3 linked regions of the Mus musculus genome follow. The protein of the gene in region 2 interacts with the protein of the main gene of each other region in a pairwise test. Links are inferred from orthologs where the notes say so. Each region holds a gene or a part of one and is shown on either strand. Other genes may lie near its edges.

The links. The genes of interacting proteins can lie anywhere in the genome.
Region 1: the proteins of Cep63 (region 2) and Ezh2 interact in binary tests that used the Homo sapiens proteins (3 or more experiments, as listed by UniProt). The two-hybrid records come from large-scale screens. The link is inferred for Mus musculus from reciprocal best matches to the Homo sapiens genes CEP63 and EZH2.
Region 3: the proteins of Cep63 (region 2) and Pcnx4 interact in a two-hybrid assay, tested with the Homo sapiens proteins (2 studies listed by BioGRID and IntAct). The link is inferred for Mus musculus from reciprocal best matches to the Homo sapiens genes CEP63 and PCNX4.

Annotation. Positions count from the first base shown.
Region 1 is NC_000072.6:47,553,440-47,557,094, reverse strand, and holds part of Ezh2 (histone-lysine N-methyltransferase EZH2), read left to right. Parts: intron 1-944; coding exon 945-1,065; intron 1,066-2,830; coding exon 2,831-2,971; intron 2,972-3,655. UniProt on the Homo sapiens protein: Polycomb group (PcG) protein. Catalytic subunit of the PRC2/EED-EZH2 complex, which methylates 'Lys-9' (H3K9me) and 'Lys-27' (H3K27me) of histone H3, leading to transcriptional repression of the affected target gene.
Region 2 is NC_000075.6:102,605,619-102,609,273, reverse strand, and holds part of Cep63 (centrosomal protein of 63 kDa), read left to right. Parts: intron 1-1,834; coding exon 1,835-1,948; intron 1,949-3,655. UniProt on the Homo sapiens protein: Required for normal spindle assembly.
Region 3 is NC_000078.6:72,570,793-72,574,447, reverse strand, and holds part of Pcnx4 (pecanex-like protein 4), read right to left. Parts: intron 959-3,655; coding exon 1-958.

The DNA.
Region 1 (3,655 bases), on a different chromosome or scaffold from region 2:
AGCCATGGAATCTTCAAATGTTATCCAGTGACATACTTCCCCAAGCAAGGTTGTACTTGCTAAACCTTCTAAACGGTGCTACCAACTAGGAACCAACTGTTCAAATACATAAGCCTATAGAGGGTGTTTCTCATTCAGATCTCCAGAGTATCACTAGATTCTTATTGTATCAAATATTTTAATTGTTAGATCACCAAATAAAGTTTTTTACAAACTCTTTGTTGATGAGTATTTGTAGTTTATTTGGATAAGCCACATATCATCGGTTCTATTACAGGTACCTTCCATTTTAGTATCTGCAATCGGAATGTCTTACACTTGAGGTCTCATGTAACCTGCAGCAGTTTCCTTTCTTAGATTAAGTGTAGTTACAGTTTTCTCTACAGATCTGGATAAAGACAAGTACTCATGGAAAATACTGGTTTTAGTTATCTCATTAACTTTTTTTGTGTGGTACCAGGAATTAAACTCAGTGTTTAGAATGCTGGGCAAGTGTATCACATTTAAGTCTCACACCGAGGGCTTAAGTTTTAAGTTTTATGTGTATGTGTCCTATGTAACTCTACACACACACACACACACACACACACACACACACACACACACACACACACACACACACGTATGTATGTATGTGTTTGTGTTTATCATGACAAATTATAGGGGTCAGAGGACAGCATGTGGGGAGTTAGTTCTCTGCCTACCACATGGGTCCCAGGGATTGAGTTCTGGTTGTCAAGCATGGTCTTTACCTGCTGAGCCATCTCTCGGGCCTTCAAGTTTTAAATAAATGCTTAAAGTCTAGTTTAAAAATTAGAATACATCTGGTTTTAACTTTTCTTTCTTTCTTCCTTTCTTTTTCTCTTTTTCCTTCTTTCTCTCTCTCTCTCTCTCTCTCCCTCTCTCTCTCGCCCTCTCTCTCTCTCTCTCTCTCTCTCTCTCAGGTGGAAGACGAAACTGTTTTACATAACATTCCTTATATGGGGGATGAAGTTCTGGATCAGGATGGCACTTTCATTGAAGAACTAATAAAAAATTATGATGGAAAAGTGCATGGTGACAGAGGTGAGCTATGTGTATATTCTCTTTAGTTGAGGGTCTGAGGGTTTTCTTGTTGCCATGACAGTGGCAGCTCTTAAAAAGGAAAGCATTTGATTGGGGCTTGCTAACTGTTGAGATGTTTATTTAGTCCAGCCGGGCGGTGTTGGCGCACGCCTTTAATCCCAGCACTCAGGAGGCAGAGGCAGGCGGATTTCTGAATTCAAGGCCAGCCTGGTCTACAAAGTGAGTTCCAGGACAGCCAGGGCTATACAGAGAAACCCTGTCTTGAAAAAACAAAAACAAAACAAAACAAAAAAAACCAAAAAAACCCCCCCCAAAAAAGTTTAGTCCATTATCATCGTGGCAGTAAGCGTGGTGGCCCGCAGGCAAGTATGGTGCTGGAGAAGGAGCCTAGAGTTCTATATCTGGATGGCAGACAGCAGGAAGAGAGAGTTACACTTAATCAATAAAAATTTTCTGGGGTGTCGCTGTGCCCCCCTTTAATCCTTAATATCTATTGGAGGTTTCTGCCTCATTTTTGTTCATGTAATTCCCAAGTAATTGACACAGAAACAGTTCATATTTATTTACAGGCTGTAATCCTATATTTGGCAGATTCTGAGCTCTTCTATATACAAACGACAGGCCCCGTGTACTTTAGTTTGCATTTTACTCAACTTGCTCTGTACCATGTGTGTCCTCAGGACCAGCTTCTCTCTCATCTTTTCCTTCTTCCTCCGGGTCTCTCTAGAAATCTTTCTTGGTTATAAGTCCTACCTTTTCTATGCCCAGTCATAAACCCAGCCATTTATTGATCAATCAGTTATTATTGGGGAGTATTCTTTGCAGTACCTGTGTTACTGCAATGCCCCAAGATCAGGTTGTAGTCTGGACCAGGGCATAGAACTCAGGTTCTGAATCCACAGGTCACAAGGCTAACCCCAACAGCCACTGGGTCTGGCTTAAGCACCTAAGACCTCAAAGCCTGCCTCCACTGACACACTTCCTTTAGCAAGGCTACACCTACCCCAACGCTACCACACTTCCTAATCATGCCACTCCCTGTGGGCCCATAACATCATTTTCATTCAGACTGTCATAGAAGGGTTTCTTAATAGAGTTCATAAAAAATCTTAAGAGCTAGTCTGGGCTTAAAGGCATACATTTTTAGTATTTCTTTAGTTTTTCCATTTGAGGATCTTATTTGCCACTTGGTAATCATCAGTAACTGGTTATAAACTACAGCAGAAACAACACATAGATTTTATAGGAATAGAGTGTGTGTTTTTTGGTAAGCTTTCAATAGTAAAACTAAGTTTAAAGATCTGTTTATGGGGCATGTGCTTCAGAAAGGCTTTCTACTCAACAATGCCTTCCTCAGGGCAGCCAGAGCCCGTGAAATTAAGTTAACAGAATCCTGGATTCAGGTTTCTGAACAGGAGGCTCTCTTGATATCTGAGCAAACGGAGATGTGGTCATATCATAATGCAAAACAGGTTTGAAGTGGTCAGTCAGTGACACAGATTGGGAGGAAGCTAAAACTACAGGTCCTTATGGATTAAGGGAGTAATATACCCTGGATCAGCTGGAGAGGGTTGATTCCTGAGAAAGCAACAGATGTTGAAGGTAAATGCTGTTTTCTTTGCTGGCTGTGAAATTGATCTTGACTATCCTTACCTGCCCCTTAGGTTACAGTGCTGATAGGCCTTCACTATTCTTCCAGATTAGAAAACATATACATAATCTTGTCATTATCTTTTTCCCTCTGTTTCTGACATTTGGCTTTTAGAATGTGGATTTATAAATGATGAAATTTTTGTGGAGTTGGTAAATGCTCTTGGTCAATATAATGATGATGATGATGACGATGATGGAGATGATCCAGATGAAAGAGAAGAAAAACAGAAAGATCTAGAGGATAATCGAGATGGTATGTTTAATACTAGTTTTTTGTTTCAGCTTTATATAATTCTTTTAAAAAAAACCTATCAGGCTGGTAAGATGACTCGGTGGGTAAAGGTGCTTACCACCAAGCTTGATAAATCGAGTTTGATCCCTGGAGCCCACTCTATAGAAGAAAAGAACTGACTCTGCTGAGTTGCCCCTGATCTTCACATCAGTACACGGTGGCATACATACACCATCTAATTAATACATGTAAATAATGTAAAAGCCACCCATGTATGGGTATAATTAAACTACCCCCTTTTTGTTAAGTGTATGATCAAATATATTTTCTGCAGCATTTCATTCTCCACTAGAGCTTCTTTGTTTCCTTTGCCTAGGAAAAGGACATAATCCTTTTTTGCACTTTGCTGATCAATTATCATAATTATCTTTATAATAATATCATGTATCTTATATAAGTTGTATACTAATATACTTATATACCAGCTTATCCTTCCACAGCTTTACAATGTATATATTATTATCAGCTCCATTATATATTGGAAATGGGTTTAGGGAGGTTAAAGGCTAAGAAACTTAAGATAGCTATATTGGGAAAAAGTAGAATCTGAGCCCCAAGTTGATGACCTAGGTCTGACCTGAGAGCTGTGCTATTGTCTCTACACTTGTTAGTTGTTGCTAGAAAGCAGTCTACCCCAAATAGTAG
Region 2 (3,655 bases):
TGTGTAGCTGGTGATGGGTGGAGATATGAACTAACTTTATTGTTAGTTTTTTCAAGGCTATTGGATTATATCAGAAGTCTTTTCCGCATTAACTAAGAGGATCATGTGATTTCTGTTCTATTAATATGATAAATGATATTTGCTAATATATAGTATATATCATAATTTGATAACATTAATATGTATGTTGAACCATCCTTGTATCATTGTAATGTTACGTGTTTGGTCATAGTGGATGATCTGTTCTTTCCCTCTAAGGCAATATTTGTCTTTACCTGTAAGGTATGTTTCTTGCAAGTAACAAATAGATTGATCCTTTGTTTGTTTGTTTTGTTAAGATTTATTTATTTATTTTATATATGTGAGTACACTGTTACTCTCTTCAGACATACCAGATGAGGGCATCCAACTCCATTACAGATGTGGAATAACACTGACTGCTCTTCTAGCACATCTGGAAGAGCAGTCAGTGTTATTAACCACTGAGCCATCTCTCCAGCCCCTGATTCTTCTGTCACTACCTCCTCAGCACTGGAATTTCAGATGTCTGCTGCCATGCCTAGAATTCTCTAGTGAGCTGGCCTATATGCTTACATGCCAAGCATTGTTCACATACCGTGTCATCTTAGTAGCTCTTAGATTGGGCCTTTTAACAATGTCCTGTGGATCTTGTCATTTCCCTTCATATTTTCTTATTACCTTTGTCATTGTCTTCATGTTCTAATTCATATACCTTGTCTTTAGGCCCTGAAACTCTGCTTTCTATTTGGAGAGGCTTTCCATTGAGCTTTTAGTTGACTCAATGAGATTTTTATTTACAAAATTTCCATTTGATTTTTTTCAGTATTTCTGTCTCTATTGAATGCCTCATTCATAGCCTGTATTGACTTCTTACTTCATGCAGATGCTTGTTGGCTTCCTTGTTGAATTCCTTCAAAAGTCTGTTTATGTTGTTTGATTTCATTGAACGTTCTTACTCATTCATTCATTCATTCATTCATTCATTCATTCAGTGTGCATGTCATGTCTATCACCTCCACTTGAATGGGGCTGGGTTTCAGTTTATTCTTATTAAATGCTATTCCTGAGTCAGTGCTGGCACATGTCATATAGACAGACAGACTGTGAGTGAAGGGACTATCAGAAAGCTGACTTCTCACTTAGCTAAGGAGCTCTGGAGCTCGAGATCCCTGGCGGACAAAGATGGGGAGGCTGAGGATCTTTCCCTTTGAGTTGCTTTATTTTCAGAAAAGTTGGGCCCATTTTCATGACGTAGAGTTTGAAATTGCTGTTGATTACCTATTATTTTTGAATTATTTGACTCTGGATTATAAGTACCTGATAAAATGTGATGCATATTTTCCATATTATTCAAGCTTTTGCAATTCTACGAAATAAAAAATTTTGACTATCAAAGATACTATTATTGGCAGGATAGGAAGTGAGAATCAGGCTGCTGAGTTACTGGTTTAGAAATCTGTTCCAATCTATTCAGTTTCTGGGTCTGAATGTTAGAAATTTAGATGGCAAAGGGAATATTATTATTTTAGCGTCACTTTTCTAAAAATACAAAATGGTAACAGCCCATAGGTGGCAGCAGATCTGCAATAATGCTCTTGAGCCCACTGTCATGGCCGTTTCTTCCTCTTCACCACTAAGTGTTACATTTAGAAAGACAGACATGTAGAGGCACAGTGTGAGCAGGATCCAGTCCTCCTTTGCAGCGTGAGTAATGGGGCTCCTGCTGAGAGAAGGGCGCCCAGGGAGCAGGGCGCTGTGCAAGCCTCACAGCCTGGGAGCACTTAGATGTTAAGTACTTCACTTGCCTCCCCAGGAATTCCGACAGAAGTCTCTGGACTGGGAGAAGCAGCGTCTGATTTATCAGCAACAGGTATCTTCTCTGGAAGCACAGAGGAAGGCTCTGGCTGAACAGTCGGAGATAATCCAGGTAGGCTTAAGCTGTCCGATGCATGGCTATTGACCGAATCGGACTTACTGCCATGCTCTTTCTGTCTTACTTGGATTCTCTCTGTAGTCTTTGTGTGGTAAGCCTGCCTTCCTCTACTTGTGGCTTAGCCTCTTCAGCATCTAAAACACTCTAAAACACTTCAGTTTTTTCTTTCTTTTTTCTCTCTTTCTTTCTCTCTTTTCTTTCTCTCTCTCTCTCTCTCTTTCTTTCTTTCTTTCCTTTTGGTTTTTCGAGACAGGGTTTCTCTGTGTAGCCCTGACTGTCCTGGAACTCACTTTGTAGACCAGGCTGGCCTCCAACTCAGAAATCCGCCTGCCTCTGCCTCCCAAGTGCTGGGATTAAAGGCGTGCACCACCACTGCCCGGTGAGTTTTTGTTTATTCAATCCTCATTTTATTCATGTTTATTGACTATTATCTTTAAGTCACTGCTATCAATTTACTATTGTGGTTAATTCCATATAATGCAAACTTCACTGTTAGTAAAAGTGGAGTTGTTATTTACCAGGCAGTCAACTAGAGATAGAATAAGATACCTTGAAAGAACTGACATCTGTTGTGCCCACTAAGGGTATTTGAATAATCCTTCTCATAGTTTTATTTAACATAAAGTTATCTGATTAGTTAAAAGTATTAGGTATAAATGTCTTTCTCTTTTTCCTTGGCAAACTAACCAAGAATGAAAGCTTCCTTTAACTCAGTTTGTGTCCATCAATGCTGTGTTGTTATCTTTACTAAACACTTATTAAATCTCTGTGTGCCCATTACTTAGTGTTAATGATTGTCATCATCTTGCCAATCTTGTATGTAAATGAGCATTAGAAATTCATAACAGAAATTATACCTCATCTTCTTTTCGTGTGGTATTGAACCCATGGCTTCACTTATTCTTGGCGAATACTGTACCAGTGAGCTAAATCTTGTGCCACCCTGACTGGCTTTCTGAGCGCAGTAGTGTTGACAACATGTGCACATTGTTTTGTGCAGCTGTTCTTTGAGACTTCTTCCTTTTTTGTTTTAAAGAGGGACATGGCATTAAAAAAATAAAAGATTGATTTTCTTTGTATTGGTATTTTTCCTTGATGTATATATGTGACCACTGTTACACAGTGCCACAGTGCCCGAACAGGGCATTGATTCTGGACTGGAGGCATAGATCAGTGTGAGGTACAGGGTGAATGCTGGGAATTGAACTCTGGAAGAGTAGCCTATGGCGTTCTTATCCAGCCCACTTCTTTCATCTTGGAAAGCTAAAACTGGGTACACTTTTACTCTTTATTTTTTGCTATTAAAATGTTACAAAGCAAATCATGGCATCAACTCATTTTTGAACAGGCAAGGACTTAAAATCCCTATAATATGATAGGGTAACATCAATAGGATAAATAATAGTAATATAACTTAGTATTCAGTCTGCAGTTTTATCCAGTTGTCTAAAAACTACTCTTTCACAGTGGCTGTTTGAGGCAGAATCCAGTTAAGCTTGACTAATTGCATTTAATTGATATGTGGGACAGCAGAAAATCCGAGAGTCTGGGTAAATGTTATGAGAAAAAACTGAAAAAAACTCTTTCATATTTTTAACATTGAAGAAGATTCAAAAACAGCTTCACGCACTTTGAGTCATGTATTTGGATTCATCTATGCAGCTATTAGAGTTTTATACTCCATGCTTGTTTTAGGGAAAA
Region 3 (3,655 bases), on a different chromosome or scaffold from region 2:
AGGTGCCAGCCCAGGGTAAGCCACCATTGTAGACTCTTACTAGCTGACCAGGGCTAGGCACTCCATTGTCTATTCCAAATAAACCAATATAACAAGCCATCACTGTATGGACATACAAGTCTTTTAAAGCTTTATCCTTTGCAATTTCCTCTAGAACACGTGACTTCTCTTCCGAGTGAAAGCATTCTAATTGCCTTAAAACAAATTGGTACCAGTCTTCTGGAAACAAGGCGCTCATCTCTAGGATCTTGGAACGGGGTGTGGAGTTAGACCTCCATTCCTCAGGTAAACTTAGCAAGCGAGACTGGGAACAACTAAACTCCACGAGAGGAATATATGCCACATCTTCTCGCTGTCCCTTGTCAACAGCAGGGAGTCCCAATATAACCGTCCTGTAAAGATCATTTTTGGGACCTGTGCCTGCAGAATGGTCATCTGGATTCTGAGAATCTACGGACCCTGGAATAGGTAACTTTGTACAAGGTAGATCTTTGGACTGAAGTTTTTCTTTTCTGTTTTTGATAGCTGGTTCATCATCAAAAATACTACCATCAGACCAGTCTGAATTTGCACTTTCAGAGTCTTCCAGGGACTCGGGGCATGGTGAGCTGTTCGCAGCCGGTGGCAGTGCTGGTGAGGCTTCTCCCGTATTTTCAGTTTTATTCTCCTGCGTGCTGGGCCTTTTAGAGCAGTGCTGAATAAGCACCCACACAAGTACCTTAATAAGATCATCTTTAAATTCCTTCAGGTTGTCAGGAGAATCAATTATGCCAGTCAGCACATTCCTGGCATCAGAATACAGTTTCACAGGCAAAACTGTACATGGCGTCAAGACATTCTCCAGGTGCTCATTAAGGGAGCACACTTGTGGGTGTTCTCGCTGAAAAGCACTTTCAAACACTTCATCAACTCTCTGGGCTTCAGCAGTGTGGCAGGATGTTTCCTGCAGTTCTAACCCCTAAGAGGAAAGAGAAACACTTGGGTTCACAAACATCTCTTACCCAGGGAACAGAAACCAGTCTCACGAGTGCCGTGGAAAATCATCACACAGATACAGAAAAAGACAACACAAACTCTAAGTCAAGAGCAGCTGCCACTTTAGGCCTCACGTCACCTAACACATTTGATGTTGGATAAAGAGAGTAAAAGGAAGGCTAATACAATTTTAAAAGAAATCATAGAAAATCCCACCAGAAGCTGGTTAAGACTTACTGTGCCATACTTTCATAAGATGATCTGCTGTTAATGATGAATCACACATTAAAAACTCTTAAGTCAGACTTGTGTGGGAGGAGGGGTAGCAAAATCAGAACTGTTAAGTGTGTTGCAATATTTCTGCATCCTTTTCATTCTACTTTATATGAGACCAAGAGAATCATTCTAGTGTATGGAAGTATCATAATTTATCAAATCATATTCCTACATTTATTTGATTACTGTCTGTCTCTACTAACTGCAACATAAGTTTCAGAAAGCACTATCTTTGGTCATGACTATATTCCCATGTCTAAGCCAGAGGAGATGCACAGGTAGGTGTTGAGTGACTGAGTATGCTCCTGTATCAGTTTTAGACACATGCTGACACGGTTCCACAGGCAAACCGGATGTGGCATCAAGACATTCCCCAGGTGCTCATTAAGGGAACTTGTCCCCAGTCTAGCTGTGCTGACAATTTCACTAGTAGTGAAGCAGTTCACTCTTCACTATCAGAGTTGGTAACTTACTTACATATAGCACAAAACCACTGGTGCCTTCCTGATCCACTTTAAGTGACTGCTCCACCACATGCCACACACACCCTCCACAGATCTCCTGTCTCCTCTGAGGTTCCTCTTATTTCACAGGAAAGATGACATCTAGAAGCTGAGTAAGGACAGAGTGCTCAACCCCCTGTGGGCATCTATGTACACCCACTTCTTTCGTAGCTTAGAGGGCATCAGCAAGAGAGACCAAAAGACTTCATGAGCCCGAGGCTAAGCAGGGCTGCTGCAAAACAGTGTCTTCTGGCCCCGATGGAGCTGCTGCGCTCAGGAAGCCACAGAGGCTGAAGTCGCCTGCACAAGCAGCCAGCATCCTAGTGTGCACAGGAGAGGGGAGGCCTCCCTCATGATGCCCCATCCCTAGTGCAGGAGCTTTTGGTAACTGATGGCTGCCTGGGAGGGAGAAACAGCTTCTTTAAGGATGTGGCCCACATAATTTATCAAGGCTCCAGCAGACGGCCCTGCACGCATGCACACTGAGCACACAGGAAGCACTGATGGGACTCAGAGCTATAACAAAACCAAGATGTGCTTTTGGTTGGAGATCTTGATGGGGGCTGGGGTAGAGCCTGGAAGGAGATAGAGGGTAAAGTGGGTGTGGTTTGACCTAACTACATTGTCTGCATTATGACATTACTCAGAGTTACAAAAAAATTTAGTAAATATGTTTATGAAGATTGAAATTTTAAACTTCAAAGTAATACAAATGTTAGCAAGTCCTAAGTCAGCTTGGTCAAAATAAATAGATCAATCAATAAAGGTTACTTCTAAATAGTGTGAAAAACATGAGAGACCATTAAAAGAATTTATGTCACTGGGTAACAGTAAACTGTATGATTTTAAAATGTAGTAAAATTTTAAAAAATACTCATGGCAGCCTGCATGCTCCTTCTCAGACTATCTGAGCAAGCTTTGGGTGAGTTATGAGTAATGGTATTTCACAGCAACCACCGGAGCAACCCTTAGGTTCTGATTTGGAAGGTCCAAAATCAGAAGGTCAGGCATTTCCACTTGCAGTTAATCCAAGCAGACGGAGGACTGAATTTTGAGAGTCACGGTCATAAAGGGACAGCACTTGGTCACTAGCACTTCCATGCAGTCTCCGTGAAGATGAAGGATGTACCTATTTACTATGGACTTGGGACGTTTTACTAAAGGTCCGCTCTGTGTTGAACACTATTAACGGGCTTTAGGTCACATTCTTGGATAAAAGCAGAGCTACGTTCCCTGTGACATTACATTAGTGAAGGACACACACAAAAAGCATTGTCGGCAAGGCAAGTGCTGCTGGGATGGGAGTGGGTGTAGCTTTAAACAATGGCTATAATGCCTGGAAAGAAAACACTTGAAGGTGATAAGCCACAGGATTGACTACCTGAAGGGAAAGGAAACAGCCAGTGGGCTAGAACAGGGGTTAAAGTAGCACAGAAGGTTCAAGAAGTAGCAGTAAGCCTTGGCTCTAAATGAAAGAAATCCACTCCCAATGTTGCTCCCCTTTAACACAGTTCCTCATGTTGTGGTGACCCCCAGGCATAAAACTATTTTCATTGCTACTTCATAAATGTCATTTTGTTACTGCTATGAACTGAAATGTAAATATATGATATGCAGGATATCTTTCACAGGATCCATGCGAAAGGGTTCAATTCTCCAAATTGGTCACAACCCACAGATTGAAAAACATCACACTATGGGGTTTTCAATAGGGTAGTGACATGACCTAACCTTATTTTTAAGATCATTTTGCTTATAATAGATTAAGAGGCTACTAAAATGATCTGGATAAAGGATGAAGACGAGTGGGGGTCAGAGGTAATGGAACAGACACAGTTACTGGACTAAGGGGTCTATAATGACTTTTGATCCAAGCAACCAGAATGACAGTTGTCTCTGAC